4 linked regions of the Lepisosteus oculatus genome follow. Each later gene encodes a partner of the first gene's protein in a complex. Links are inferred from orthologs where the notes say so. Each region holds a gene or a part of one and is shown on either strand. Other genes may lie near its edges.

What was found. Proteins that work in one complex are often made in the same cells at the same time.
Region 2: the proteins of gna13b (region 1) and gpr4 are in contact, whole or in part, in a cryo-EM structure (PDB 9JHP), measured with the Homo sapiens proteins. The link is inferred for Lepisosteus oculatus from reciprocal best matches to the Homo sapiens genes GNA13 and GPR4. Residues at the interface, in NP_006563.2 of Homo sapiens: Arg47, Pro341, Tyr343, Phe359, Lys363, Asp364, Ile366, Leu367, His368, Asn370, Leu371, Lys372, Gln373, Leu374, Met375, Leu376, Gln377; in NP_005273.1 of Homo sapiens: Gln45, Asn50, Arg115, Ala118, Val119, Ala120, Pro122, Leu123, Ala126, Ile204, Val208, Ser211, Val212, Ser213, Thr214, Glu218, Lys221, Ile222, Leu225, Asn290, Glu291, Gly292, Ala293.
Region 3: the proteins of gna13b (region 1) and s1pr2 are in contact, whole or in part, in a cryo-EM structure (PDB 7T6B), measured with the Homo sapiens proteins. The link is inferred for Lepisosteus oculatus from reciprocal best matches to the Homo sapiens genes GNA13 and S1PR2. Residues at the interface, in NP_006563.2 of Homo sapiens: Arg47, Val216, Phe359, Lys363, Asp364, Ile366, Leu367, His368, Asp369, Asn370, Leu371, Gln373, Leu374, Met375, Leu376, Gln377; in NP_004221.3 of Homo sapiens: Ser66, Met68, Tyr69, Leu72, Arg130, Ala133, Ile134, Lys136, Val137, Lys138, Leu139, Tyr140, Tyr209, Ile212, Val216, Ser219, Gln227, Thr228, Leu231, Leu232, Val235, Tyr288.
Region 4: the proteins of gna13b (region 1) and adgrd1 are in contact, whole or in part, in a cryo-EM structure (PDB 9V0U), measured with the Homo sapiens proteins. The link is inferred for Lepisosteus oculatus from reciprocal best matches to the Homo sapiens genes GNA13 and ADGRD1. Residues at the interface, in NP_006563.2 of Homo sapiens: Val49, Val216, Phe218, Phe359, Val362, Lys363, Asp364, Ile366, Leu367, His368, Asn370, Leu371, Gln373, Leu374, Met375; in NP_942122.2 of Homo sapiens: Asn599, Arg601, Leu657, Met660, Val661, Ile662, Val664, Phe665, Ser667, Val737, Ile738, Ile741, Ala761, Val764, Asn810.

Annotation. Positions count from the first base shown.
Region 1 is NC_090704.1:39,941,714-39,949,520, forward strand, and holds the start of gna13b (guanine nucleotide-binding protein subunit alpha-13b), read right to left. Parts: upstream 3,012-7,807; 5' UTR 2,901-3,011; coding exon 2,618-2,900; intron 1-2,617. Other genes in the region: regulator of G-protein signaling 9, read left to right, coding at 6,461-6,526. UniProt on the Homo sapiens protein: Guanine nucleotide-binding proteins (G proteins) are involved as modulators or transducers in various transmembrane signaling systems.
Region 2 is NC_090698.1:1,583,059-1,590,254, reverse strand, and holds the start of gpr4 (G-protein coupled receptor 4), read left to right. Parts: upstream 1-4,192; 5' UTR 4,193-4,512; intron 4,513-4,524; exon of another isoform or gene 4,525-4,724; intron 4,725-7,196. UniProt on the Homo sapiens protein: Proton-sensing G-protein coupled receptor activated by extracellular pH, which is required to monitor pH changes and generate adaptive reactions. Activated by an optimal pH of 6.8-7.2.
Region 3 is NC_090706.1:15,452,079-15,459,159, reverse strand, and holds the start of s1pr2 (sphingosine 1-phosphate receptor 2), read left to right. Parts: upstream 1-4,077; 5' UTR 4,078-5,448; intron 5,449-7,081. UniProt on the Homo sapiens protein: Receptor for the lysosphingolipid sphingosine 1-phosphate (S1P). S1P is a bioactive lysophospholipid that elicits diverse physiological effects on most types of cells and tissues.
Region 4 is NC_090717.1:8,653,951-8,661,770, reverse strand, and holds the start of adgrd1 (adhesion G-protein coupled receptor D1), read left to right. Parts: upstream 1-4,816; 5' UTR 4,817-5,513; coding exon 5,514-5,579; intron 5,580-5,767; coding exon 5,768-5,804; intron 5,805-6,734; coding exon 6,735-6,851; intron 6,852-7,820. Other genes in the region: GTP-binding nuclear protein Ran, read left to right, coding at 43-168, 391-578, 740-910, 1,600-1,644. UniProt on the Homo sapiens protein: Adhesion G-protein coupled receptor (aGPCR) for androgen hormone 5alpha-dihydrotestosterone (5alpha-DHT), also named 17beta-hydroxy-5alpha-androstan-3-one, the most potent hormone among androgens. Also activated by methenolone drug.

The DNA of each region.
Region 1 (7,807 bases):
CGCGTCACCAGGGTTCCCGTTTCAAACACATGACTGACCCAGAACCCAATCTCCTTCGCTCTTGCCATCACAGGATGACAATACAAGCATTTCAGCTCGTCTGGAAATCCCCCCCATCAAAGCTGTAGCTGAGGGGGTGTGGGGCCACCCCCAGCTGCAGGATCTCGTGCGCCGCTCACACACGCAACCACCTTCTAGCCATCCCAGCCACTGAGGAAGACCAAGCAAATAACTACTGTTCACTCTTTTATTCCTGGGAACGAGGAAAGGGTTTATTCCCTGCTAAAAGAAGAAGAAAGCAAAACAACGTTTTGGCTGTCGAGCCTTCTTCGGGTGTGATCCTATCAGAGAGGTCAAAGACTCATCAATAATACTCCGTATTTAAAGAAGTAGGGATAAATTCCAAAGCAACATCTTGCATTACTTATCCCTCCATCCATCTTCTAGCCACTTCATCTAATGAGTTCCAGTGGAACCAGACCCTATCCCAGCGAGCAATGGGCTCAAGGCAGGGTACACTCTGGATGGGACGCCAGGTCATCGCAGGCCACACACACTCACACCAGTGCCAATGTGCCCCAGAAGCCAAATAACCTACCAAGGTGTCTTTGGACTGCGAGAGCAACTCACGCAAACACAGGAAGAACATACGAACCCCAGGCAGATAACACCCCGGGTCAGGAACTGATCCCAGAGCTCTAGCGCCGAGAGGTAGCACAACACCACTGTGCTGCTTTTGCAAGGCTTGTACCATTCAAAATTAATTATACACAGTTACATGAGTCATAACACATGATCTCGTCATTCAAGGGCTATGAATTACTTTACACTTTCACACGCCGATTTATTGTGCTAGGGGAAAAAAAAACTCTGCTCTGCTCCAAAATTAATAAGAAAAGAGTATCAAAAGAAGCACGCAGCAAAGCTATAGCCTGACCTATCCAATAATGCAATGTGTGACACATGGAAAGGTCATGCAGCATGCTGCACAAAGAGGGGGGAAGGATCTTAGCAAAGTCAGAGCTCTAACAGGGAAAACTCCACCTCCAATACGAAAAATACACCTAGATATTCACCTTCCCTTTGCGGTCTTGTGACCACAAAAGCTCTAAAGATAGAAGAGCTTGGAAAACCTTGCCCATCGCTAAATGTAGCAGTAAAGGGAAAACAAAATCATTCAAACAGACGGTCTGAACGGATGCTGTAGGTTGTCTATTTGAACAAAGCCAAGCCAGTCCCTTTAGAATTCTTACTGCCCAACAAAGCCTTTTAAACCAGTACTTCATGCACGGCTGCTTCTTATTTCCCCCTAAACCACTCATTTTTACTGCACCCTCACTGAAGCACAACTCTCTTTGAATTCACGTTAAAGAGTTTCTGGTTCCGTCACAACGACACTGTTTCCCCCCAAGTATACAGTACAATCATTATCTGTAAAACAGGTCTCTCCCTGACAGAAATGTTGCTTATAAACATCGGAACAAGCGACTCACTTGATGTCACTGAGGAAAAAAGACTCATCTGTGCGTCTGGACTGGCCTCGGCCTTCTCCCCCCACACCGGATATGGCCACTTGCTTCCCTTCAGAAATGTGTTTCTATTTCTTTAACACTGCTCATGCGACCTCTGAAACCGGGACAACACCCTACAGCTATCACCTTAAATCAAACAGAAGAGTCTGTAGATGCGAATCGCCCCGCCGCCGTCTAGTTACACATCCAGTAATTATTAACGTTCGCTGCAGACAAAACCTGTTTGAACACCAGTAAAGGAAAAATTCAAGGCAACTGAGAAGACGAGATAACCCCGGGAACGGGCCGGACGACAGGAGAAAACTCCTGAATTCCGTCTCAAATACTTCTACAACAAACAAAAAAAAAAAAAGAAGGGGCAACCCGCTTTTTTAACCTTCCCTTGGCAGGACATTTTTTTTCTTTCCAAGTAAAACACTCAAATCACTCGTCAGAAAACTTAAAACGGCACCGCCAAGCCCAGGTTTCACCAGGGGGAAAAAAAAAGACTCTCGGCTTCACTGCAAACAACTGAAACCGTGCCCTCGCTTCTCACAAAAAAAAAATGAGCCAACGAAACATAGTAACTGTTTTCAAAGAGTCATCCCCAACTTGGGCGTTTCACCTCTACCCAGATTGCGTTACATCGCGGTGTGAAATGCAGATATCTGGCTTTTCTTCGCTGCAACGCGTGGATACCGTGCAGAGCTTTTCTGATTGTGCACCGTTTACAATAGCCAGGCTTCTCCGGCAACTTTTGAGTGGCTAACCTCCCCAAAAAAAGTACCCACCAAGGGGGAAAAAAACAACAACTCCTCGTGCCAGATTTCTTGAAGGGGGGAAAAGAAAGAGAAGCGTGATTACACACGAAAGACGAAAACGTGAATTAGCGCCCGATTAACCCCCCTTCCTTGTCTAATACAACCAAATAACATGGGCGTTTCTTCTCTCTACGGTCGAGGGGATGTCTCCCTAAGAACACAACTTTACTTCTGACCCGCTCCTCAAGTGCGCAACTCGGCCGTTTAAGAAACGTTCCCTCCCCCCTCCGAAAACCCCGAAAACGAACCCCAGTCGGGCCGGACGACTTTCTTTTCCGAACTTACCTTTAATTACATTGCTGTAGATCGTAGCCCGGAACTCTTCCTTGGCCCTCTGATCGAAGTCCTGGCCGTGGATGATACGCATTTGCTTGAGGAAAGTGGACTTGCCGCTCTCTCCTGCTCCGAGCAGCAGGATCTTCACCAGCCGCTTCACGTACGTTTTATCCCGGGAAATACATTTGTCGATCTCCTTGGAAATTCTCAGCTGCTCTGCCTCGCTGCTGTTAAGAAGGCAGTTAGGAAAACAAACTGATAAAACGGACCGAGACGGCAGGAAATCCGCCATCTTTGAAGCAACTTCATCGATACAGCAGGGAGGGAAAGGGCGCGCCCCCGAGAGTCTCAGCTCCGAGGCGGGCGGGGCGCAGTCGCATTGTAAGGGCGCGCACGAATGCGCGGCGTAACTTCTACTGTGGTTTTAATAGGGGGTGGGGTTTGGAAAGAGACGTAGAAGCGTGGCCTTTACTTGGTTGGATGTGGAAATCCGTCATTAAGGGCTCATTTTTGATAAAAATAAAATCAGATTGAAACTCGTTGCTGTTGCAGATGCGACTCCTTGTAGACTATTACATCCAGACGCGCAGGTCGACAGAGCTTCTATAAAGCGTTGGTCTTAACGGGCTACTGCTGCACCAGGGTCTTTCTTTTGTTTTGGGGATCCCCTGCCTGAGGAAAGAGAAGACCCCCGCTGGGAATTGTCGGGATCCTCCGCCCCTGATTGAAACCGAAAACCTCAGTGTCCCAAATTAAACATTATTTAATAGTTTTAGAAAATGTCACTTGCATTTAAACCCACAGTTAAGCAAGGACAGCTCAGCTCTTTTGTAGGTGTTTATCCTGCGAAATTCTAGTCGCGTAATTACTCATTTCCATTTTCATCAGGGACAACGATAATCCTTTGTTTATTGTTTCAATAAGCGTTTGTTTCTACAATATGAATTGTTCAAAGTCAAACACTACAGTTCAGTTAAGATCAGTCTCGGACTTAATAGTATGCAAAATAATCAGAAACAGAAATTGTTGTTTGTTAGATTGATGTATATAATAATATATGTATTATTAATAGGTAAAGTTTTGTTTTCTCACATTCATTCATTAGCTGCTTCATCCAATTCTGGCTTGCGGGGGAACTTATCAGAGCAAGCAATGGACGCAAGGCAAGGTGCACCCTGGACAGGGCTCCACCCCATCGCAGGCCAGCACACGCATACACTCACACCAAAGACACTTTTCCCAGAAGCCAGCCTGCCAGCACATCTTCGATCTGTGGGAGGAAACCCGAGCACCGGGAGGAAATCCACATGAACATGGGGAGAACGTACAGACTCCACCCAGATAGCACTGTAGGGCTGGAATTGTACCCAGGGCCCCAGCACTAGAAGGCAGCAATGCGGATCACTGCACTACTGTGCACTGTGTCAATTCTGTTTTCTCCTGTCCCATATTTCCAAGGTACAAGCCTTACCCAAAGGAGGGTTCAAGGATGGCATAACCCAGGGTGGTGTCCTCATATCTGAGAAAGTTGGTGGGGATCTCCGTTGTGGAGCACACACGGATGGAGAAAAACACAGGCGCACAAGGAACAGCCTTTGTTGTTTGACTGCACAACAGAGGAGCAGTCAGCGAAAGATAATATCCACCACTTTGCTATGATCAAGAAAGATCATTGTACGTGGGTGAGCCTCCTAGGCATATTTATGAAATGTAATAAAATTATCACTTCAATCAATTTATGAGTGAAACCGTTACAGCTATGAACAAGTCAAGTGCTGTACAAGAGCAGTCAGAAATGCACAGTTGTCTGTGTGAGGATATTATGCATTAATTCTCTGTTAAAAGCTGAAAAGAGACTGAAGATCTCAGTTTGAGACTGAACGTTTTCGGAGAGAACCAGGGGGACCCGATACAAATATTCAAGATCCACAAAGAAAGTAAACCCAGCAGAACTCTTTAGAATTAACTGTGAATCACAGACCAGTGGGCATTGGCAGAAACTGGGGAATTCATGCCTAATGCCTAATTAGGAAGAGAAAACAGGAGATACTTCTTTACAAAAAGGGTTGAAAGAGTACGGAACAAGCTACAGAACCATATTTTTGAAGTCGGCACCCTGTTTTCTTTTGAGGAATGGCTGAATCTGATTGTTGGATTAATTGGACTAATTGAATGAATTGCCAACCTGCCTAGAAGGGCCCAATGGTCTCTTCTCCATCGCAGCAATGCTTATGTTCTAATTTTGATTAGTTGAACAAGAAAGAGAGAAATCCATCGGAAATGAGACAATTCTAATGGAATGCACACGAATGGGGAATATTACCCAAGCAATTGTTACATGAAAGATGAAGGTTTTGTGATTGTGTAAGTACTCCTGAAATAGCCCACACTCTTATGCAACATGGAATTTTTTCATATAACATCATTATTGCTTTTACTTGCTTTCTTTTGAGTCATTCAAGTCATTCAATCAAGAAATGATTATTTCTTCAACTATTCCTTTCTTCACAATGGCCTGACTATCAGTTATCTCAAGGATAAATAACATGAACAAATTCTGGCTCGCTAGTCAGTGAATCAGTTTCTTCTTAACTGTTAAGTAATCTTCTTTCTTTTCTTTTTTTGTTCATAACAAATGAATTAACCATTTATTTTTTAAAACCGCTTCTTCCAATCAGGGTCGCGGGGAGACCGGAGTCTCCCGGTAGGCCATGTTGATGGGGCGGGTTTACACAAGCACATTCACACCGGGGCTGCTTTTCCCAGAGGCCAATCAACCTACCAGTATGTTTCTGGACTTCAGCAGCGATGCTAACCACTGTGTCATCGTGCCGCGTGTGAATATTATGCTTATCATATATATATATATTTGTAATATGAAAAATAGTACCCTTCAGTACGTTTTATTATTTTCTTGAAAACCAAGAAACATTTCCTGGGTTCTAGTACATCACCCAGCATTGTACAGGACACGCAGGAAACCAAATGCTCTGTGCTCTGAATGGTCAACAAATGTGGATATGTTCCCAAGAAGAAACGAAATGGAAAGAAGCTACAAAACTTGAAGGCAACATTAAGAAAAACAATAAGAAAGTTCACCTTAAAATATCGCCGACAGGGGGCAATGTGTTATCGATCGATGGTATCTTTAACATGGCAACGAATACCGTATATGATATTGCAGATGTATTTCAGGAAGATAACAAATTTATGCAGATATGTGTGAGGCAGTGACGTTTTCACATTCTGAAAAAAAAAAGATTTATTGAATTTCCATAGTTGTGTAGGAATGAAACTGTAAGAACAAGAAGTTGGGCTGACACAAGTAAAGGAGCACCTTAAAGGGGTCAGTATTATAACTTTCTCTTCCTAACTTAAAATGTGCATTTGACGCAAAGATTGGGGAGATTATGGGATGGCGGTTTGCAAAAGTGGAACTATTGTGACATATTAGGGCTGAGTAGGCCACCAAATTAGAAGTATATAAGTACACAATATTAAAAACAGTTAGCGGGAATGGATAGTCCAAATATTACATGGCTTACAATGTACTAGAAGAAGCTGCTTCAAATGTTAAACTCTACGTTGCCGTCTATCGGGCAAGTTTAAGAAGTGCAGTGATGCTGCCGACAGAGGTGACAGGTTGTGAGAATAGAGCCGAGTTGTGATTGGTTGGGATATCAATCCCAGCGCTTTCTTCATATTCGCTGTGGTTTATCACTCTAACAGGCGGCGTGTGTGCAAGAGGAGAGACGCCAAGACCGTCTGTCCCTGCGCTAGTTTGCTGTCTTTATCGTTGTTTTTGAACGCATTGCTTTCTCACAGCTAACGACAGCGACAGGGAACGCAAATATGACTATCAACAAGCTCTGTGATTACAGCCAGCATTATCGACCTCGGATGGCGTGTCTGAAAAAGGTAGGCTTGTCATACGAGGAATACCTTGGTAACAAATCAGAAATTGCGTTGTATAGTATTGTGCATTTATCGGTACAGCCTGTTGTTTATCTCTATAATTGTATTCCATAAAACAGTAGAAATTAATATCAGGTTACCGCTATGTATACACGTCCTAAACATTTGTGCATATATATGAATTTGCTTAAAGTTTGAACCCGAGAAAGTTATGATCCTTTCCAGTAATTGGCCTGAAAAGATTTTATGTTCCTGATGTTTAGAACGCACAAGCAGGGTACCCTTTCGCATTGTCTGGTTTTGTTTTTGGCGCAGTGTGCTAGTGTTGGTCTAGTAGTTTTAGTTTTATCACGATGTCCGTAAAAAATGAAGGAACGCGATCCCTTGCTCAGTTATGTTTACTTTTCTTTTGTTGTCTTTCCAGTGGTAGGTGCAGGTGTGGCTTGGTGTACAAGCGTGTTTTTCTGCAACATATTCTAATTTTGTTCTCATCCACCACATAAAACGTAAAAACCCCGTCATCTAAATATAGGCATGCTTAATCTATTTTTGTACAAAAGCTAATACTTTCTTGCCCATGCGCAATCTATCTCACCTATAATGAGACTAGGGATCTTTCACGCCTATTGGAAGCGGGATGCGAATTTCCATTCCACGTGTTTTAGGTATAATTAATAGCAACAGGGCATTCAAAAAGGCATTTGATAAGCATTATTTGACTTTTTAAAATTACCCAATCTCTATCTTTGTTCCAAGCCTTGAATTTAAGGAACTGTTGTATTATGAAAAGAAATGTACACATCACCTGTGTAATGCACTTTGTGCATTTTAAATCCACTAATTCACAGAGCTTTCCACAGTTCCTTAGACCTTTCAGTGATGACATGATCACTCCCTGAATCAAGCCCCTTAAAATGCACTCTTTCTTCATCGACAGGATATTCCCTTTTAATGTTCTATTGACACAGTCCTTATCTGAGCCATAATCTGCCATTGCAACATCAATCCAATGTGGAATTCCCTCATTCAGTTAAAGTGTATTCCACTGGTGCTACCCCTCCATCTCATCACCCTTTCCATTCCCAGGATCATCAAAGATAACGGCTCCATTTTACAGGATGATGCCTTAACTGGAACACTTTCCAGTCCCCCCTATCATCTCATACTGCTGATCACCTAACCTGTGCAACCTTCATGTCCCTTACCCACCCAGAGTCACATCCACACCAGGAACCTTATGTTGTAACAGAAGCCACAGCATCGCCTGCAAATATGTATCCAGTA
Region 2 (7,196 bases), on another chromosome or scaffold:
GTGAAAGGGCTCTGAAATCAATAAGCTATTAGCAAACATATGAGCAGGAGGAGACGAATGGCCTCATTTTGCTCAGGGCCTGTCTGAGGTTTGTTTCGTTGACAAGGGGAGTGAGGGGGGAACCATCTGCAAGGGTCTTCCTCGCTGCTGGGCAGGAGGCCGTTTCAGCGGACCAGTCTCAGAAGGAGGAGGAAGGTGAGAGGGGGGTCCGGGCCATCAGCCACCTGAAAGAGAAGAGAGGAAGGGGCATCAGACGATTTCATTTCTTCTGTATTTTTGCAACCTCATGAACGGTCATCGTGGGGGGCGAATCAAGTTTAATTTGATGAGCTGCTTAGACATGCACAACAAAATATAAAAACACACTCATGACCACTGCAATTCAGACGCTCCTGTCTCGCATAGCTCAACGTGTCACATGACCTGACTGGCTAGTACCAGGATTCGAAACTCTGGTGCAGAAGGCCTGAAGTCCAACTGTTCTTCTAGGATCATTTAAGTTGCCAGCAGCTTACATTCTGTGCAGAGACATCAAATTGGACCAATGGGATCCGTTTACCTAGGAGTTCTGCCGGATCCAGTGGAATTCCCGGCTCCTGCTCGCTGCCGGAACCGCGAGACGCTGTACCCAGCGAGCGCTCCGAGAACCCCGGACTGGCGGCCACAGCGTCCCCCCCGTCAGCTGTCCCCCATGCTCTCCTTTGGTGGCAGTTCTGCACTCCGGGGGGAAAGGGATTTTCTGTGCCCAGGTTCCCGGAGAGAGGAAATTCCTGAGCCGTCTCGGTTTATTTTAAGAGGACGGCAGAAGGACAGACTCGGGGAAATGACTCCCTGCTTTCCCGGACGGCCCCTGTGACAGCGTGTAAAGTCAGGGCCCTATCGGCCCTCCTCGGGCGACCGACCTCCCTTCCCGTCTCACCCCCCGGCTGTGGCTCGTGACTCCTGAGCCCTGAGGCCTGGACCCAGCCCCGGTCAGTTTCTCAGAGCGCCGGAACGGTCAGCGACAGACGCACGGCCTCCCGGCTCTGCGCCGCGAGCTGGGCCTGGAGCTGGGCCTGGAGCTGGGCCTGGAGCTGTCCGGAGCCCCGCAGGTCCTGCCTGTGCAGAGCTGCGCTGCTTCTTTTCGATTACCACGACATTTTTCTCCTTGACCTCTCGCCTCTTGAGAGCAGAGGCTGAAGCGCTTATTTACTTTTCTGCTTATTGTGTTCAGAAAAAAAAAAGATCTGGCTCATTTTTTCCATGAAGTTTACAGATGTTTTTTTCCCTAATGCTCAGATTAACTCTCCCTGAATTGCTGAACATTTTTTATAGCCGTTGCCTGGCAGCAGACGTGAAACAGATTTTTTTTGTTTGTCTTGCACCAACGTCTTTTCTTCTCTCCAGCAGCTGCTGACATGCCACCCTCAGAGTTGCTAATCTTTGCAGTGGCGTTCAACCTTCCTCCTCCAGTTAGCACCGAACACAGGGCGCAGGGCTGCCAGTCTGCCGGACCCAGCAATATTCACTGCCCTGCTCTGCCCGCTCAGACTCCTGGTTTCTGGCATTTTCCCAGTGAGGTGTGGGCTCGTTCCCTTCCCGGAACGAAACATGATGGATAGAAACTGTTCTTTGTACTCTTGGACTCCCTGCTTTTTGGCTCATCTTCCAAGATTTTTAAGGATTCAGTTCCATCTCTCCGTACTCTCCGCACTCCGTTAGCCAGGACTGGTCACACTGGGAATAGCCCCTTCGTATGAAATCCCACTCAATCCAGCTCCCCTTTGCTCTCACAATTTAGAGCAGCCAATCAATACTGATGTGCATGTCTTTGGTAGGTGGGAGAAAACTGGAGCCCCCAACACACACGAGAACGTGCAGACTCCACACGGACAGGTATGTGAGCCTGTCCCGTCTCACCCCGGATCGCCCCAGAAAGAGCACCAGAATTACCTTCACTGCATACGGTTCTGCCGCCACGATTTGCGACAGCGTCTTTCCCTCAGCGCTTGGCTCTCAGGGGTCCTGCCACGAGGTGCTGCGAACAGGGCAGAGAGGTGGGGGAGGGGTGACACTCCTGCTCCTGCAGCACCGCAGACAGAGACACTGCAGCACACAGCTGGACACGCTGCACCAGCGCTGCCACCTGAGCGCTGGGGGGTTCTCATCCGCTGCCTAATGGCTGGAACGGAGGTCACAGCGGGGCCTGCTAAGCCTATTTATTTAATGCACTTCCCTCACAACTGAAAATGATGCACAATGGAATTATCTCAATATCCCCGCGCTACCGAGACTCAATACGGTCAGGGCTAAAAGCATTTAGGCACCTCAGACTCAAAATAACCTTATTTGCTGCGGCCTGCAGGCTGGGCAGGCGCGACTGCGCAGAGCACCGCGGGGTGTCCAGTTTCAGCCTGCTCCCTGCGTGCCGAGCGCGGCGGCTCTCCCGCGACCTTCCCGAGCAGACCTGAAACTGGAACCCGGGGCCTCCGTCTCCCAGCCTGCGCGGCTTCAAGGGCGTCCGGGGGCCTCGCGGAGACGCAACAGCTTGGCCTTCTGCGCAGGTTCGAAAAGCCCAGTGTGTCCCGCATCAGTCCGACTCCTCCTCCTTCCAGGGGTGGGAACGGGGGGGAACATCGTCTCCGTAGCACCCCTGAAAAAAGTCTGGATGTACTGAGTGTGGGAAGCCACAGATCGAGGGTTTCTTGGGTCTTAGTCCCAAGGAGCACCTGGGTCATGTGGTTCCAGTTTCAGACCAATTTATGATAAACCAGTTTGGTGTATTTGGTTATTCCCATGAACGCATGTCTGTAACTCAAGACAATAAGAATTCAAGCTGCCCTCTGGTCACGCCAGAGCCCAGTGCTTACACCCGGCTGGTCTGGACTGGGCCACGCCCGGCCCCGGAGCTCGCAGGGGAAGAGGAGAGGAAACGAAATGCTGAAAGAATGAAATGCTGCACAAGGACACAAGAAAGACTAGAAACAAGAGGAGGCCACTCCATCCCTCCCGCCCCTGAGCCCAGGAGCTAGGAGCTAACCCAGTCGAGGGACACATGCAGCCAGGGTGTCAGCTTCAGCAGCCTGGCTGGGTAGCTTGTTCCACGCTCCCATCACCCTTAGCGTAAAGATTGAATTTTTTGGGGTCAGTCAGCGAAGCCTCGGAGGACAGCACCCCAGTGTCTGCGGCAGCCCGTCCCGCTACTGCTCTTCCTCACTGCCCGGTGCGACACCGAGGGCCCGCAGCGCCCGAGCCGCGCTCCTCCGCCGTACGTGCATGAGGGGCGAGTCCGTAACGAGCGAAGCCGTTTTTGATTCCTGCTTGTCGCTGGATACGCCGGGAGGGAACAAACGAGGGCAGAGCAGCAGAGCCCGGGAGTTGTTCCTTGTTCAGGGGTACAGTCTCCAGCGACACAGCCCAGCATCTGAGCAAGCGCGCCTGCATGCGGCTGCTTCCCCGAAACAGTCAGTAATAGCGGAAGCTCTCCCCTAAACCCGAGGCGGACAGCAGTATGGCAAACTAACCTCTACTCCGGAGAGGCTAAGATAACTAACACTAAGGAGGAAGAGCACAGGGATGTAATATTGAATCTATTCCGCGAGCGGTCGCCTGGGCGACGAGGAGCAGAAACTCCTGAAATCAGTGGAAATGAAAATTATATCAATTCGTTTTAACTTTCAGCCGGTGAAACTGATCGGTTCTCATTCCCCCCGCCTCGGGTGTGAGTGCTGATGGGGTGTCCCGGGACTGAGGGGTCCCTGAGCGAAATGGGTCTTCTTGCGCCTCAGAATTTGACCATCTTGGCTCCCCGGCTGGGTCTTGCAAGGCGAAGATCATTCAGAGAAGCGAATCTGAACTGTGCGCTGTTGAATTAGCAACTAGTCCATGACTTTCTTTGCTGAACATCACAAGAAGGGAAAACAATCCTTCAGAACGTTTTAGAACAGAACTCGTGAACTTGTCAGTGATAAGCGCGGTGTTTATCGCTATTATTGTCGTGATATCGGGTGATGACGACGGCGGTGTCTGTTTACTCGCTGGCTATTTCCAGCAGCTATGACACGTTTGAACACACCCGGATCGTCCCGGCCACCCGTCTGCCCCACAAGCCCTAGAGCTGCGTGTCGGCGGCGGAAGAGTTAAAAAAAAAACCCGTCCGAGTGAGAAGCAACACAGAGCAGAGCAAGTGCCATCTTCTAGGGGAGGGAGAGAGAGAGAGAGGAGGGGGAGGGAGAAGGGAGGGAGATAGGGTGCACGCTGCCGCCGGCTTCTTAATTTGGAGCGAAGACAACCTGACCCGTCTGTCTCCGGAGCAGCCGCGGAAGCAGAGCGCACAACGAGCCGGCCCCGCTTCCTCTGGCATCGCGTGAGAGCACCCGACAGCGGCTGGGGGGCCCCTGGACAGTACAGCCCTGCGGACGATGGGGCGCAGGGGTCTGCAGCGCCAGTAGCTGAACTTCCCCCCCCAACACACACACACACGTCTCTGGCGCCGCGCACGGGGCCGCGGGCGCGTGTCGGCTCCCAGCCCAGGTGAGTGTCGGGCGGGCGCGCGGCGCACACGCGCTGGCGCTCCGGGGTCCCGTCCGTGACCGTGACCGTGACCGTGTGCTCATTACTGTGCACGCCTGCGGGAGGAGAGTACAGGCGGGACGACGGCGGGGCGCTTCGGATGAAGAGTTTAGCACCTCTTCCCTCGCAGCCAGCGTCGGGGCGGCTGGACCTGCTCGGGCGAAGGCGCTTCTGTAAGTCTTGCGGGTTTATCGCGTTAACGCGGTCCTGTGTTTTTGAAGTACCAGCACCGTAAGCTGTTCGAGGTTTGTACCGGTCTGCGTTGTCCCGGGCGGATTCAAAGCGAAAGGGGCAACTTTTCTTCCCCCCCAAAGACTTAAAATAATAAGAGGAGTATGGCGAGGCGCGGTGATCGCGACAGATGTTTCACGTACTCCTGCCCCTCGGGCGAGGTAGCCTTCCTCGCTGGCCTGCCGAGGAGAAGGGAGGAGGAGGAGGGACCTCCATCGGTCCGCTCCCTACTCGCGTCTGACCGGTGTTGTATGAACCCCTTCAGCGTCTGACATGAAGTTTGAAAGTCATTCTGTTCACCCGCTCACAAACGAGCAGGTTGCCTGTCATATTCACTGTAAATAATTCATTACAGCCAGGGGGTTAGTGAGAGGCCAAGTGACTTTAACGCAGGTGAATGGTGTTCGCTTATTAATAAATACAGAAGACTGTGCCCCACCGGCTATGTCTCCGAGATGCCGGTCGTGGCGATACGCCAGGACTGTAATGATTTTGGTAATGAGAACTATTATTTGGCGAATGCCGCGCGGTAGTGGCGTATGTCGTTAATTGGGAGGGGTGACAGGTCGTCTCGAGATAATGGGCTTTCAACTGAAAAAACAAACACGAGCCGCCGGGCTCGTGGCGCACCCGCGCTCTGGTACATGTGCACGAGCCGTGTGAAATTACTGCCATAACACTCTTGCTGGCCGGATTCTCTGTCTCCTCTCTGAGATTTGCATTTTACTGCCCCCTTCATTTTAATAAGGCCTGATAAACGACCACGAGCGCAGCCGTAAATGAAAACTAGTGTTGTGTCCGCAATAAGTTTTTTTTTTGTGTGTTTCCTGAAAACCCCGAGGAGAACCTCCTGGTCCTGAAAGGGCTCTTTTCTTCTTGCAATTCTTTGCACGTATGTAGCGCCTTTCATGTCAAATGATCTCAAATCGCTTGATCTACGGAGCGGCAGCCTCCGAAGAATCTCACCTCATCACTATTGATCAGGGCAAGTTTTTCCACCGGAATGTTTCCGTGTCACGCACTTTTATAAAGCGCTGTGACGTCCCTTGTTCTCTGTCTTAAAGACACAGACTTTCTTCCCCCCCGTTCAAAAGCACACCTCCCTCAAAATGGACGTCCCGAGAGTGCACCTCAGAGGTGTGTGCTGGTCATCCGTGCAGCAGACGGGACGTGCTCTGCGGTCGTCTCCCTGCTGTCGCGGAGTTTTGGAGTCCGCTGGCTCTCCGGGCTGGGGGGGGGGGGAGGAGGAGTGTGAAGAAGGAGCTGCGGGAGAGGTGCAGAGGCAGGGCCTGGCCCTGGGCTCTCGGCCCTCTCGATGGGACCGTCCTGCATTGCAGGATGAGCATCAGTAATTGCAAGAGCCTGCGATGTGCAGGGGAAGGCCCTGTCACTGCACACTGGCCCGGCTCCAGGCTGCAGCCCCGCTGACCAGAACGGCAGTAACGCCGGTCTGATCGACAAACGCTTGACTTTTTTAATAGCATGTGGTTGAGTAGAAAATCTCAGTGTTGTGTAAACAGAAGGTGGGTGGGAGGAGGTCAGGTCGATGACGTAGAATTCATACCCTTATGTAAAAAATCACGTCAGAGCAGTATGTGTTTTCCTATGATAGGTACATAGATATATTACCAGGAAAGGTTTCACATGTCTTGAGGCCCCTCAGCCCATTTAGGCTGTAACTGGCACAAAAGGGTAGAAAGACTGCGCTGATCAGACTCACGTTTGTTCCAGTCTAATGTGCTGATTTAAGGGCATCTGTGAAACTGCTGGACTGGGAGCCTTCAGGACCAAGGCTGACCTGACTGGTCCTTGTGTGAGAAACCATTGTCAGGTCTAGGTTATGTTCTTGTGCTTGGAGCAAATTTCTGCAAATAGATGCCCTGATACATTTTTTGTTTATGTTGCCTTTTTTTCTCTACTGGTGCAAAATGTCCTAAGAACAGGGATACTTGGAGTATAGCTTGTAGTTGTATTAATTACAGTCACACGACTCTTGACAGGCATGCAGTCATCATGATTTATTTCTGTGTCTTTTTTTACTTCCTCTTGCTTCTGGTAACTGGGCATCCTGGATACTTCATTCTCAAACTCTGTCGCCCGTCTTGGCCTAGCGGACAATACTGTAGGTGTGGGGCTGGACCCTGTCCTTCGAGCGTGAACAGGGGAAGACCTTGTCCGTCCAGGCAGGGGTTGGACACTGAGTCAAGTGTCCAAGTCTTCTGACGAGTCTCCTCTTACGGAATCCGTCTGCCATACTGGAGAGCAAGCCTCAGAAATGCACTTTGAATAATTGGAGCTAAATATCCCAGCTAGACCCGAGAGCAGCTCTGTGACATTGAAACCAGCGCTGTGGTATCACTCTTGATGATATTAAATGATATCAGAGCCGGGAGTCCATTGACAGTCGTAGATCA
Region 3 (7,081 bases), on another chromosome or scaffold:
CTGCGACAGGCATAAAATCCACATTTCCTCTTCTTGTCAAAAAGTTTTCAAACGTTGCCAGTGTACCACTTTGAATTACCAGAAATAACCACAGTGTGAGAATCGCAGTTTTTGCTATGAGTGTTTTAGGTTGCCAGAGCTCACAGAATGTGTGTGAACTCTCAACACCCTACCCTGTTACTCACCCGATCGAATGGAATTACCAGTAGAAATTCCTCGACCAGTTGTGAGTTCTAGGTAATATCATATGCATTTTCTTTCATTTCAGCCCTTCTATTATGCTCACCTTCAGTTTAATGCTGTTTTCCTTCCAAGGTGTTCACCCCATTGATTTTGTTATTCATGGTTCAATGGATCTATTACATTTCTTTTGTATGGAATGGGGGCTGAAGCTACCAATGACTCTGACCTGATTCAAGGTACATCTGTCTGCCTCCCGAAAGCAGCTTCTTCCCAGTGAGGGTCACAGCGCCCCAGCAGGCTATCCCATAAACACGGGACAGAGAGCGGACTGCACCCTGAACGGGCCAAGTGAATCACAAGGCAAACACACACACATGGAAACATTTCTAGACGCCAATCGACCTCACCAGATCAGAAAATGTAGCTGACTATTTTATTTGAAGAAACTTTCGGCGAATAGGTAGCAGGTAAATTAGGCATCAACAACCGCTGTGACACTGGTCCTCAGGACAGGGCACGAAAAGGCTGGGTATCTTTCTCGGGATGACAGTCGGCAAGCCCAACTCCTTAAATACTGATCTGATGATTTGAAGAGATCAATAAAACCTGACGGACTGGGTGCCGCCCTGCATCTCCTTCGCCTCGCTCTGTCAGGAGCACCTGAAGTCGCCGGGACTGGAAGACTGGTGTCCTCGAGCAGGGTGGCAGGTCTGTCCCCTTGTCCACGGAGCTGTCCTTGGCACAGCTGGCACACATGTGGCGCGCATTTGTGACGCCCGCTGCCAGGCTTTTGATGCGCCCGCGAGAAAGTGGAAAGCCACTGGCAGAGCGCTTAAGGCGCTGAGGCTGTGGTCACTGGAGGGTCAGCCTTGGCACAGTCGAGGATCAGTTTCTTACAATGTGGCTCCGCAGAGGTAAACTACACAGTTCTACTGCCCCTAGACACCCATGCATCCATTTTCCAGCTGCTTCATCCAACTCAGTGTCCCGGTGGGAGCCAGAGCCAATCCAATTTTCTAAAAAGCCAACTATCCTACTAGAAACCAGAGCACCTGGAGGAAACCACATGAACATGGGGAGACCATGCAAACTCCACACATACAGCACTCCAGGGCAGGAATCGAACCCAGGGCCCCAACCCTGCCCGGTGGTAAAGTTCATTACTGCACCGCCATGCAGCTCCAGTCCAGGTCTCAACATAACATAACAAAAAGTTTACAAATGACGTAAATGAGGAAATTGTTCATCTCATTTTGTTCGTTTTGTAAGGAGTAATGAATTGATCCAAGGATCTCATCCCGCTGTTGCTTGAAAGAAAATAGGGTATGAGTTTCAGCTGCATGGCTAGGAAGCTCATTCCACACTGCTCCCGCCACCCTTTGTGTAAAGGAGTGCCTCCTGTTTTTGGCTTTAAATGCACTTCAACGTTTTTCACCAGTGTTCTCTGGTTTGGGTTTCAGCACTAAAATTAGCATTACCTCGCCCCAGTCAAGCCCACAACAAGGGCACGTGAGAGGGGAGAGCATCGACCCCCCCTTCCCCATACTGTGACATCATGATATTGTTTCCCACGACAACCCCGCCCCCTCAAACAGGTCTTAAACAAAGGGCATCACCACGGCAACGACCAGGCGCCGCAGAACGAGAGTGAGCGCGTTCTAGTTTTTTTTGTATCCTGTAAGTCAATTTCGGGGTGAAGCCACAATTAACTTCGGAGTGTCAAATCTGAGCCCCGAAAGGCAAGCCAGTACTAGAACCGGTCTGTACAGCAGCCAGATTTTCTTTCCATACCTCCCCTGCCAGGAAACTTAAGAAATCCTGCAAAAAATAGAGTGTTAATCAAGGAACACTGCTTTCATTAACAACCTGTCAAACAAAGTCATTTCCATTTAGCTGCACAGGTTAGGTTACTGTGTAAACTCAACAGACAGCCAACTGAAAATCACATTTTTAAACTTGTGATCATTCTGACGCACAAATTCCAACCGCTGTGCTCCGCACACAAAGTAGATTTTCCTTATTTAGGAGAATGTATCTCCAGTTTGTGAATTTTCAACATTGGCTCGTCTGATTTAATCCTCTGTTTGTTTATGGGGGCTGCGATTAAGATGTGGGTAGGTCCGCAGGAGGATTTGTTTGGTAGTCCACATGAGAAGAAATATTTCACCCGCCATGTCAGAGCCACTCACAAATCCCTCTGCATTCAGAGGTGATGAATGGCACAGCACGCATTCCATTGCACAGCTAACAGAAAGGGGGGAAAAAACGTGTTTTTTGAGAAACGTCGTTTTTAAAATACCACTGAGCGTCCTGGGCTTTGCGCCCAAACATCTGTTTAAAGAATCCGGCCCTATATGTGTATACATGCTACCTTTCCCAGATGTGGAGGCCCGGTGAGGGCCAGCAGAGTTCTCACAGACAGCGGAATGTCTGTGGTGGCCCACAGCAGGAAGTGAGGTTCTGTCACTTGACCTCTGTGTGCGACTCCCAAGTCCTGCCCCAGCTGTGCAAGGAACAGTACTGAGATCTGGCTGGAAAAAAAAGGACAAAAAAAATCAGGCAGGGGACATTCAGAACACAAACAGAGGGCTCTTGGTGTCTGACATCCACCCTGTCCAGCCCAGTCCCCCCACCCCCGCACACACTGCCTTCACACTCAGCATCTGAGATTCTCATTAACCCTAACACAGGGGCATTGTGGGATTGACAGCACTGTTTAACTATAGGGGCAAAACCCATACACCTCCACTGGGTACTCTGGGATAGAGTCGGGAGGGTGAACGCGCTCACTGTGAATATGTCATCCTTCTCTTCTAGAAAAGGCTGCAGGCCGGACTTGGTTTCAGGCCATAAGGGGCAAAGCGGTGGCTCTGTGGCTCTGTGGCTAATGATCTGCACCTGTGGTTAGAAGGTTGCAGGTTCAAATCCCCCAGCCAGCAGAGGAATCCTACTCCGTTAGGCCCCTGACCAAGGCCCTTAACCCCAACTGTTCCATGGGCGCCGTATAAATGGCTGACCCTGCGCTCTGACCCCAAGCTTCTCTCCCTGTCTGTGTGTCTCATGGAAAGCAAGTTGAGGTATGTGAAAAGATAAGTTCCTAATACAAGAAATTGTATAGGCCTAATAAAGTGATCTTATCTTATAATGCAGTGATCAGAGAAGGCCACAGGCCAAATAAATCACTGGCTCCTCTCGATAAATAAATCACTACAAATAAATCACTGGCTCCTGTAGTAAACCTCACTGGCAGCACACTGGGGTGAAATCAGAGTGAAGTGTAACCACGGTAAAACCCTGGTAAAACACAGCAAGCATCCAACACATTCGCACCTTCTGGGAAAACATGGCAATGCACAGCACGTGTAAAACGCATGCTATGGGTAACACCAGCTACTACTGCGAACACGGCTGGCAGATTTGCTGTGGTTAGCAGTCCTCACCGCTATTTGCTCTTTGCGGAGAGGGGGGGTTGAGGGGTATTTGTGGAAGGGGTGCCGCGTGGTTCAGTTTCGCTTGTACCGCTTAATTGAGAAACACGTCGCTTTGCCCAAATGGTATGTGTGGTTTGACCTAAACTAAACAGAATAAAAAACACTTGGAAAAAACGCTACCACCGCTGTAACTGCCGGTGTGTGCACATATAATTAATCATTCTATTAATGATTCCTGTGACAATGAGGTCATCGCGACATACGTCTCGTGGCTATTCGCAGGCAGATGTGACAGTGGGGGGGGGGCGATGACGTCACCTGCATGCAACGCGAGACGGGCTCCGCTGCAAGACAATCGGCGGGGTCTCGTCACGTCACAACAAAGCGGGGTCACGTTCCGCAATGTGGGAATGCGGGGTGTGTGTGTGTGTGGGGGGGGTTAAGTAAAAATAAACAAAAATAAATCGAGAACTGGACAATTTATCTGGAGACCTTTTAAATGTGAAGCAGGCAACGTCTCAATTCTCAGATAAAAAGAAAAGCACGAACGCGCGCGAACAGCTATAAGCAGTCTTTTGGTTGACGTAAACAGGGCAACTTTGTTTTCAAAAAAGAGTAAGGGCAGCGGTTAACCAGCAGGGAGAACTGAAGTCTGTGCTAATTCCCCCGAATGTGTCTGAAACGCGGGCACCCTGTGACAAACCTTTCTACAGAGGGAATAACCTACTTTCTAGACTTCCCGGCGAGTAGCCCTGCTGGTAACTGCTCCTGCAGGGTCCCGTTCAATCATTAACTCGCTATCTCTGCCCCACAGAACAACGGGTCATTCATTGCTGTGCGTTGACGTGTTGTACTTTCAGCAGTTGTTTCAGTAAATTCAAAGAGTCTCCTCCCGCTTAATGAAAAAAAAAACAATCCCAAGAGATTTCTCTTGTCTATGCCCGCCGCTGCCACGCCGGAGTGAAAGGTTTTCCGAGAGGTGCGAGACTGGCCACGCCGTCCACGTCTCGGTCTCCGACAGAGACAGCGACGAAAAGGTGAAAAAAGAGAGGGAGAGAGGGGGGAGAAACATCTGGATTTCATTTCGGAGTCAGAAGACAGGAGAGAGGGGGGAAAAATCTGCGATTACAAAAAGGAGTATTTTTCTGCGCTGAAACACTTTTTCATTGGGTCTCTAAACAAAGAAGGAGTGGAGAGCTCTCCCCACCCTCGCTGTTTTCTTTTAATAAACCAAGCTGATTGGGAAAAAAAAATAATATTCCGTAGTGGGACTTTGCGTGCACTGCGGAGGGCTGCTCTGTGTGTGTGTGTGTCACCGTGTGAAGCGCGCCTCCCAGCTTCCAAAGCTTCAGAGACAACTAGTGTTCCCTTTGCGAAGGAGCGCAAGTCGGGCGGACACGGGATTTGTACGGCAGGCCAAGAGCGGCACGGAAGACGTCCCGTCGCCTCGCAGTTTTATCCGCCGGTGGCTGCTGTCCACGGCGCTGTCTTGCCGCGTGCTTTTGCCCACGGAGGCGGCGCGCTGCGGAAGGGCCCCTCTCAATGCCAGCGCCGCGCGGCTCCGCTCCCTCGCAGCCGGTTTGCGAACCTGCGTGGATTCCGTGGAAAGCGGGGAAGAAGAAACAGCGGCGTCCACAGCTGGCCAGGTTTTGAGAAGAAGAAAAAAAGAAAGAAGAAATCCTGACACTCCGGGAGGCAGCTTTCCACGGGTGGGGGACTTTCAAAACCAAACGGAATTAAGGAGCATGGTTTCAGAATAACCCAAGATACAGCAAGACTCCGCTGGACTCGTACGCAACCTCAGAGCGTTACTGCTTCGGACACGGTATATGGGGTAGGTCTGCAACATCGGTGATGATAATAATACTATAATGAGAATAATCGGAGGTGTCTTGAGTTGTTATTTTGTAGTAACCATACAACACAGTAGGTTTTGGAACCGCAGACTCACGCTAATGCTACATTTTACGGTGTGAAATATATCTTTTTTCTCACACGTCTGGAGGGGCAAACGTCATAAGACACATTCGCTTGAAGTACAGCACCACAGTTTCTAAACGTGTCCGTGTTGATCTGCGTAAAGCTGACCTCAAAGCCCTTGCTGACCGTGAAGTCAGCTAGCAACTTCGAAGTTCCTGTTTTCGGAGCAGATCCCCGCGCTCAGGTGAGGGGCGTGTGGTGAGTTTTTTTAACAACTGCAGACCCGTGCAGGGCAGACGGGCTCGCTCTCTGTGCTGTGAGCGAGCAGCACGGGGCACGAATAACCGATGTGGGCACGTGTGGTGAATGTAATTAGAACTTGCAAATAAAAAAAAAATCGCTTCTTTCGTCTTTCCAAGTACACCCGTCGGTCGTCACGGCGCTGCTCCTCGCCGATAATTGTTTCCTATCAGCGAGATATTAACTTATGGATGTTGGAAAGTTGAAGAGAGCACACACCAGTCTTTCTGCGGGGGTGGGGCGACATGTCTTCGCATGCTTGCCGCTCCGATCATTAGTCGCTGAGTGATTTATTAACCTCCCCGAGACCCCGGCGTGTTTTGCGCCGGACCTAATCACGTCCCCCCTGTGCCCTTTCGGGTGAAGGGAGCGGAAGCGATCGGGGGGTAAAACTGGCCCTTTTTTCCGGACAGAAGGCGTTGTTGGGTTTTTTTTTTGAACAACCAGACAAAGGCGTCCGCTGCCGGTGCTGCGGGGGCTCTGTGGGCACCGTGAGCGCGGCACGGAATCGGGAACTGTGTGCCGGTTGTTAGCGGACGCCGGGGTCTCGGAGTAGGCTTCAGACGGGGAAAACTTTCGGGGATACTTTCTCGTCCGCTTTCCACTGCCAGCCACTAAGTTGTTGCATCGCAGTCTGCGCATTGAAAAAAGAGCCACGCGTTTTAAAAAAAACAAAACAACCCATTCAACAGTACTAACGCCAGACGTGTCTTTAAAACCAAGGGTTTCACGGGTAGTGTGCTGACACGCCTTGACCTACCTAATCCTGATACATGAAGGGCAGATGGTCAACATACCGGAAAGTGGTAGTTCATTTAGCACGAGCACAGGGAGGGCAGCGGTCATTTAGGGGGTAATATCAGAAGTGCGGGGACTGAAGGAGAGGTCAGTGCTTGTCAGCTGACCCTGGTCTGGCAAATGTCATGCACTCGAAAGAGGGAAGCCGTGTGGCTGGGAAAGAAGACGGAAAGAAAGCGAAATGAAAGCCACCCCTTCCAAGCACCTTTGTCCGCAGGGGGGGCGACTGAGATTTGTCCAACGCGAGATGGGAATGGTGCACAAAAGCGAGCGTTTGAAATAGACAACGGAGGGGAGCTGCTGCTCTTCAGGTGTGACGACCGAATGTGTTCACGCGCAGTGTTCAGAGCCACATGCTCGTCCGCGCGTCGTTTACGGGGCTCTGAGTTTTGCCACCGCTTGGTCCGGTATCAGGGCTCTGTGGAGCGCAGGCAGGCGGAATTGAGGGT
Region 4 (7,820 bases), on another chromosome or scaffold:
TCTTGGATATTGGCACTGATGCATCTTCTTTTGTAACTTCAGCTACTTTGGGTGTTGAAGTCCACCCGCTCGTGTTTCACACCAACAGAGGTGCAATTAAATTCAACGTGTGGGACACAGCTGGGCAAGAGAAATTTGGTGGTCTTCGTGATGGCTATTACATTCAAGGTAAGTTCACAATGTGTTCATTCTTAAATGATGGGTTGGAATAAGGAACTGGTTTTATGAATGAAATAGTTGTTCTTAAATATAAATTTAAAACACCTGATTAACAGGGATGTTATGATTAATGGCACAGCCCACTTAGGATGTACCAAAATTGGAAGTTTTAAATTGATTGTTACAAATGGTGTGAATTTCTTCTTGACTGTCCTTTTTTTTCTTTTCCAGCCCAGTGTGCCATTATTATGTTTGATGTAACATCTAGGGTAACATATAAGAATGTCCCTAACTGGCACAGAGATTTGGTGAGAGTCTGCGAGAATATTCCCATTGTTTTGTGTGGCAATAAAGTAGACATCAAAGACCGAAAAGTGAAAGCGAAGTCCATCGTCTTCCATAGAAAGAAGAACCTTCAGGTGGGTCTTTTGTTGAATAGTGGACTTGGAGAGGCATAGAAAGATTAAAGTAATATCACAAAACATTAAATATTTATTACAGTGGCTTATTTTAAAATTGTAAGCAGGTATGGATATACCACATTTACAATGGCTGATGCTAATGATGTCTTTCTTTGCAGTATTATGACATCTCTGCCAAAAGCAACTACAACTTTGAGAAACCCTTCCTTTGGCTTGCCAGGAAGTTGATTGGAGACCCCAATTTGGAGTTTGTGGCAATGCCTGCTTTGGCACCACCTGAGGTTGTTATGGATCCAGCACTGGCTGCACAGTATGAGCAAGATTTACAGGTATGATGCTGACTTGATCTTCTTAATTTTGTAGTCTGTATGTTTAATGTATTAGGGTTTAGTTTCCTCCCTTCACTCCTTTTATGTGTCCAACAACACTGCTAAAAGGAGCAGTTTTACAGATGCTTAAGACCAGGTCATTGTTCATCTTTAATTTTATAAGTTGTGTATTGATATACATGACTTAATTTACTATGCTCGGATGTCTTTTTCCACCAGAAACATAATCCTCGAAGCCGGTTTTAGACTTAACATTTTAATAACACTGTTTTAAATGATCTCTGTCCAGGACTTTCATTTGTGGCAACCTAACTTCTTTCAAACACTGATTGTGGCATAATGTACTGAATCCTTTCACTTGGTCTGTGGATAGAATTATTGTTTAAATTGATACATGATTTTTTTTCCAACTCAGACTGAAAATTATTTTGTAAATCCAAGGTTGTTTTGCCTTCTATACAGATGTCCACAGGTGTTGTGCTAAGAGTACTAAACAGATTACAATCTCATCAAATGGGGCGCATTAGCTTTTGCATACTGTTGTCACCTCTTGGTTGATTTTGAGAGGAGAAGTTTAAGTGTTATATCAGAAGTCATGCTTACTGAATTAGAGGCCCCGATCTCGTATCAAACGTTTGTTCAGTTAAGCTGGGCTGATATCAACTGCATTTTTGATTGTCCCTCCACAGGTTGCCCAGTCTACTGCTTTGCCAGATGATGAGGATGACCTGTGAGTGCGGCTGGAGCCAGGCACCGGCCGTCTAGTTTTATAGGCAGCTGTCTGTGAAAATCTTGGTGGCGCGGCTCGTCTCCCGCAGTAGTTCCACAGAACACTTATATATGTGCTTTAAAAATCTTGAGCGGCTGAAGAGAGTGTGGATTTCGGTGTGAAAGTGTGATGGAGAAAATACAAATCAATTCCTACTACTTTGGACCTGCATAAAACTTGGCTTTTTGGACTGCAACTATTCTGCCCCCTTATGAATTTTGATAATTTATAAGCCTTCTGCAGTAAACAATACACATTGGTGGCACTTGTTACTCATTCCCTTTTTTAATACATAATAAAGTTGTTTCAGTTTTGAAAGCAATTGGCTCAGGATTTTTCATTGCACATTAAATATGAAGTCTAATGTGAAAAGTGGTGTAACTCATGCTTAGCTGCTGCATGAGTATTTCCTTAAATTATGTAATCAAAAAGCAGTTCAAATGTTCTCTTATTCTTGGCATTTGATACTTATCAGCACCTCAGTTTGGCCATGTGTATTTTTCTGCTGTGGAGTTTCAAGATTTTCATTTGTTTGATGTTTTTCGGTTTAAATATTTGTAAAATGGAGCCTTTCTAGGTCTAAGTGTTGCTGTGAAGTTTTTCTGTAGCATTATTTTTAATGTTGATCCTAATTGAAATGGGCTGATCAATGAAGGCTTAGTAAGATAGAATGTGCCAGATGCGTAAAAGCTCAATTTTGCTCCGGAGTTATAGATCTGTAATTATGTGTCCCTGAGCTAGTATTCGTTATTTCAGAAAGTGTAAAGTGGAGTATCCAGAATGGAAATACCGTAAAACTGCATCTTATGTTAAAGTGAAATTTGTGAATCTACGGATTCCCTCAACTACGTTGTAAATTGAATCAGCCCCGCCAAGTCAGACCACACTTGCCACAATCCTAAATATGTAGGAAACTAAACCCAAATTGTCTTGGCTCTAGTCTGTACAGTTCAACCTTTTGCAACCAAACCTGACTTTTTTTTAAATAAACCTACAGTGTGATTGATGGCTGTCTTAAGAGATGGTATGTTGCTGAACAAAAGGGGCACTGAAGAATGCACCTTGATTGCTAACTATTGCCAACCATTAACTTAAAACCTTGTAAGATCGTTGGGGTGTCAGTGGTACCTCGTATAGAGGCTTTTTTTTTTAGATTTAACCAAAAAAGGTCTTAAAATTCAGTACAGAATGCATTAAATTTGTCAAGATAAAGAGCTTTTCTTTAGCTTGTGGACTTGGTGTAACATCTTATTCAAGAGGCCACTGATGCTTATCAAGCTGTTAGTTCTTATGCCTTAGGTTTAGTATTGAAACATTTGCACACCTTATCCACCTTCAAAACCTGTGAAATGTATGTAAACGGTGCAAAAAATAAAACTTGTTTTGAGAAACCAGATTCACTGTTTCATTCACTGAGTTCCCCGAGCATAAAAAACAAATGGCTTAACTTCAGTGTTCTTGGTCGGTTCCCATTGGTTCACAGATCGGTTGTTAATTGCATCGCCACCCCAAAATGTTACAGTCCTGGGTTTCTCTTGGTTTAGCATAAATGTATACTAGTCCTTCCAATTTCATTGCAGATTTTAAAGGTGCATAAGGGTTTGACAAACTTTGTGACTGGATAGAATGTATAATCGCTGTATCTGAAGACGGGCGCTTCCAAGAGTGAATACCTATGACACTTGTGTGCAAGAGGCACAGGTATGAATGGAGTTCAAAGCTTTGCACGTCAACTAGATACACCTGTATAGGTTGAGAATCAAGTCTTGAGAATGCATCGTCGGATATGACAAAAATCTTCATTTTGTAAAATGGAGATTAAAATATTGTAATGCTTTGGGCAATTGAGTTATGAGCTCGAGCTACGTAACGCCTAAAAATCAATTCCGTGGATTTATAGCTTTACATCTTTAAACAATTATCCAATAGGTGGCGCTAAGTTACCGCTTTTCAAGTGTATGCTGCCGGAGTGGTGCAAGTACAATATTTCCAAGCAAGGAAGCGGAAACATTGTATTACTAGCAAAACCTCCCTGCTATTACGGTGAAATAGTAATGAACCTCCCATTCGCCATAATAACAGATGCGTCTTATTCTCACAGCGCAAAGTTCACTTTCCAGGAGAGGTGCTTTGTGCGCATGTATCAAAGTGTTCTCAGTGGGTGAGCAAAGGTAGTAGATTCCAATTAAATGACTAATTAATTACGATGTTGCGGATGAACAAAATGTTAGTCACAAGGCGTTAAATTCCACAGAGCCAAGCCTGGTCCTAAGAAGAACCATTAGGTTTTATGTGTCATTGTTAAACACCCAGTTTCTAAACGCTTGGCGAATTTCGCTTGCAGTCTCGAACAGGTGATCTTGCTCAAATAGTTCGGAGATCGTACGAAGAGAAAATCCCCACTAGAAACTGGAAACTTTACGTTTTTAATTTACACCTCAGAATATAGCAAAGTGATGTTAACTATATTGGTCAGCAATCACGTGTCCCAAATCGGTAAAAATTAGTGATTCAAAGACAGGGCAGTATGTTTTAGGAAGAGTATGTTTTAATCTTGGGAAAAATCGAGTCACAGGAACACTCATCAAAAGGAACCTGTGAATGACACCATCAACAGGAGTTTTCACTACAGAAAATGGGGAAAATAACCTCACACTTGATAAAAATGATCTGTGTCAAATCTTATTAGTATATGTTTTGAGTGATTGTGAGTGGCCAGTTAGATCAGTCTCCGGTTAGATCAGCTCCGTGGTTGATAGAAAGGGTTTTTAATCCAGTCACACAGAGCCAAGGTCTATGGCATCAGCCGAAGGGCAGTTTATCGACTTTAATGTCGTTGTTGCCCTAATCTGACTAGTTGTGCGGTCTCTCCCAGCACATCTGATGCAGCGGCATTTTTAAATTGACACACCGCCCCCAAGGACCAGATTGGTCTATGGTCAGATTATTTTAATACACAAGTATAACATCATAGATCAGAATTTCGATTGTAGCATAATACACATCACCAAAGGCGTCATTGCCATCAAGAGATGATGGCATGTGACAATTCACACACGCACCTTTTCCTCTTAATAAAAGTGTAATTGAAAGCGTTTAGGGTTCAACCAGCACCGGTGTAGATATCTCCGCATCATAATTTAGTTTGCAACACGAAAATGTAAATACTGGGTAGACATTTATCATTGTCCTCATGAGCGTGACTCAATGTCACACCGCACATTTCTACCTGTTAAATATTAGCTACAAAAATCGTATTTAATCTCCGAATGGAATGATGGCCAGGCACGGCCAGGTTGATGTGCATTACATAAATCCATAGTCTATACACCCTTTTACAATCGAAACGGGAAGGAAAAAAAAACTTCTCTGGGACCCAAAGGATGACATCACAATTTCAAATCCCCCACCCAGCAAAACAGAGCTCGGGGCCAGGCAAGTGAATTCTTACACTAACATCCAAGTTGAGTAAATCTGTGGCGAGGCACCGAGAAACAGAGTACGAGACAGAGCGCTCCAAACTGGCAGATAAAAAACTCCATGCAGCGATCATTTTCTGCTCGGTGCACCGCAGAGGCTGGAAGACCGAGAAAACGAGCTATAAGAAAGAAGATGTAAGAGTCCAAAGATTGTACATCAGAGCTTTTCTTTCATATAAGGAGTTATAATACATCAGGGGTTTTAATATCATCACAAGAAGGAAAGAAAGGCTTTGAACTGTGCAACACCTGGAACGTTTTCAGAAGCGCAGAAGATGATCAACCCGCTTTGGAGCCACTCTGCACAAAGGATTTAGTTGAAACCAGCACAAGTCCAAACTTCTGAGACCAAGCTATGGAAAAGCTCTGCCATCTCTTATCAATAACGACATTTTTGTCTTTAATTCGAGCCCGTTTTCAGGTAATGTAACTACTTTTCTTGTTTAACGACTAATATATTTGAACAAATTATGTAAAATATTATTGATTTGATAGCTTTAATTCGTGCCAGCTTTCAGGTAGTGTATTGTTTTTTAACGCCGAAATATTTTAAAACACATTATGTACAATATTATGGGTTTTACAGCTACATGTATTTTTTATATTTAGGTTTATGGTGAATTTGGAAACCCGTCTGAACATCCAGGTAAATTAGGTCTATGTTTTATATTTAAAGTTTTTTTATTATATTAGTTAATTTAATTTTTTGCCAGTTTTGTATATACATTTTTATTAAGTCAACGAATAAGAATACGATGATCAGATAATAAAGTAAATGTAAATAACTAATTAATGTTGCAAGAAAGTTGACTTTACGAAACACTGTAGTAAAGAATAGTATTTTTTACCAGGAAGGCTTGTCTAAACTAAAGTTTTGTTAATTTAACTAAAGTTAAAGGTAGCATTGTAAAGGTCTTACATTGCTTAAGATTTCAGTTATTTATTATTTTAATTAGGTTTAAAAATGATTATATTTGTAATGTCCCAAACAACATTTTGTTTAAAACCAGTGTGATAGTTTTAAACAAAGCTTTTCTTTAAGTTGCAGAGTGCTTCATCTTTCTCTAAACCTATGATATGGAGGTGTATTTATTTTTTAACATATGTGTCTGTTTTCCTTTTTGTTTCTTGTTTCTGCAGCACTTAGGGCTATGTGATGATTTTAAAGTTAAATGCTTCAGAAATTGTAATCGATTAGATTTGGTTGAAAGACTGATACAAATCCTAAAAGTAAAGTTATAGTACTATACTAATCTGAAATTGACATAATACACAATGCAATACCTACATCCTAATATATCATTATTATACAGTACTTACATCCTTATATGTCCTTCACTTAAGATATGCGAGATATATACATTTTTACAATGACATGTCAAGGGCTTCTCAACATTTAGCCTTGTGATCACAAGCTACTGAGAGTTTCTCTGAAATGAAACCTATCAGGAAAATAAAATTGATACTAAACCTAATTTCTCACAGGTATTAACACCTGTGACTTAATCAATGCTTGCTGGACACATACAGCTCGATTGTAAAATGGGCTGTTAAGTATTTTCTTCTTTTTCTTCAGGTCTGAAAATTTTAGCCAGTGCGTCACACTACTGGCCCCTGGATGCAGTAGATGGGATATATGGACTGTGGGATGTAATTGGAAACCGAACAGGTCATATTAATGGAAATAATATAAGTATGTGAATGTGACATGTGTAGGCTAAACATATTCCTGTCTGTTTGAATGGTCTTTGTTGTTCAAAATAGACTGTTGTGTCTTGTTTCCTGGGGCACATTTTGATAGGATTTCACTCAAAACTATTGTCCCTAGTAGAATAATATTGCTGCTAATTAGACTGGTAATCCAGTCATTATTAAAGATACTAACCTTCATAATTAATGAACAGCATTTAAATATACAGTATATGTTTGATGTCTTACAGTCACTGTAGATCTTCATGGAATACGCTATGATAAAAAATCTATGAGGTACAACATTTTCAATAGTCTGTTATGGGTTGCATAACTGGAGATAAAGATAAAATGTTAATTTAAATGGAGAGAAATCATTGTCTGTGATTTTAGTTAGCTACTGCTGACAATGTGTACATTTGAAAGTTCTTGTTAGATTACAGCAGGATCTTACACCTTCCGTATGCTCATTTCAATGCGTTGTGACACTTTGCAAGCTATTATATTATATTATGTAGCTTTACAGGCTATTGCGTAGGAAACAATTAGTTAACTTTTACTATATTGTCAAGTACCCTTTTAAATTCCATACAGCAGCATTGCTGTTTTAAACATATATTTTCTTGTGTTACCTGGCAAAGAATCCATCACTTTGGATTGAGACAATTGTGAATCTAGCTTCACTAGTATGTAAGGCACGTTACGGATAATACCTACAAGGCCTTGAATAACTGCAAGGAAAATACATCACACTAACAGATGCATACCAGAAAGAAAAACCTTTGAAAGCTGCACTTAATTGAAGGAAATGTTTTTGAAAATGACTTAAAGGAAATGTAAGACTGCTGATGCCAGAAAGCTGGAAAGAGGAGTGGAGTGCAATATGTTTTGTTCAGAATTATCTATTTTTCCATGCAGGATAAAGAAAAACTGGGATAAAAAGCTTGGATAGCCAGGCATCAAACTGGAAAGT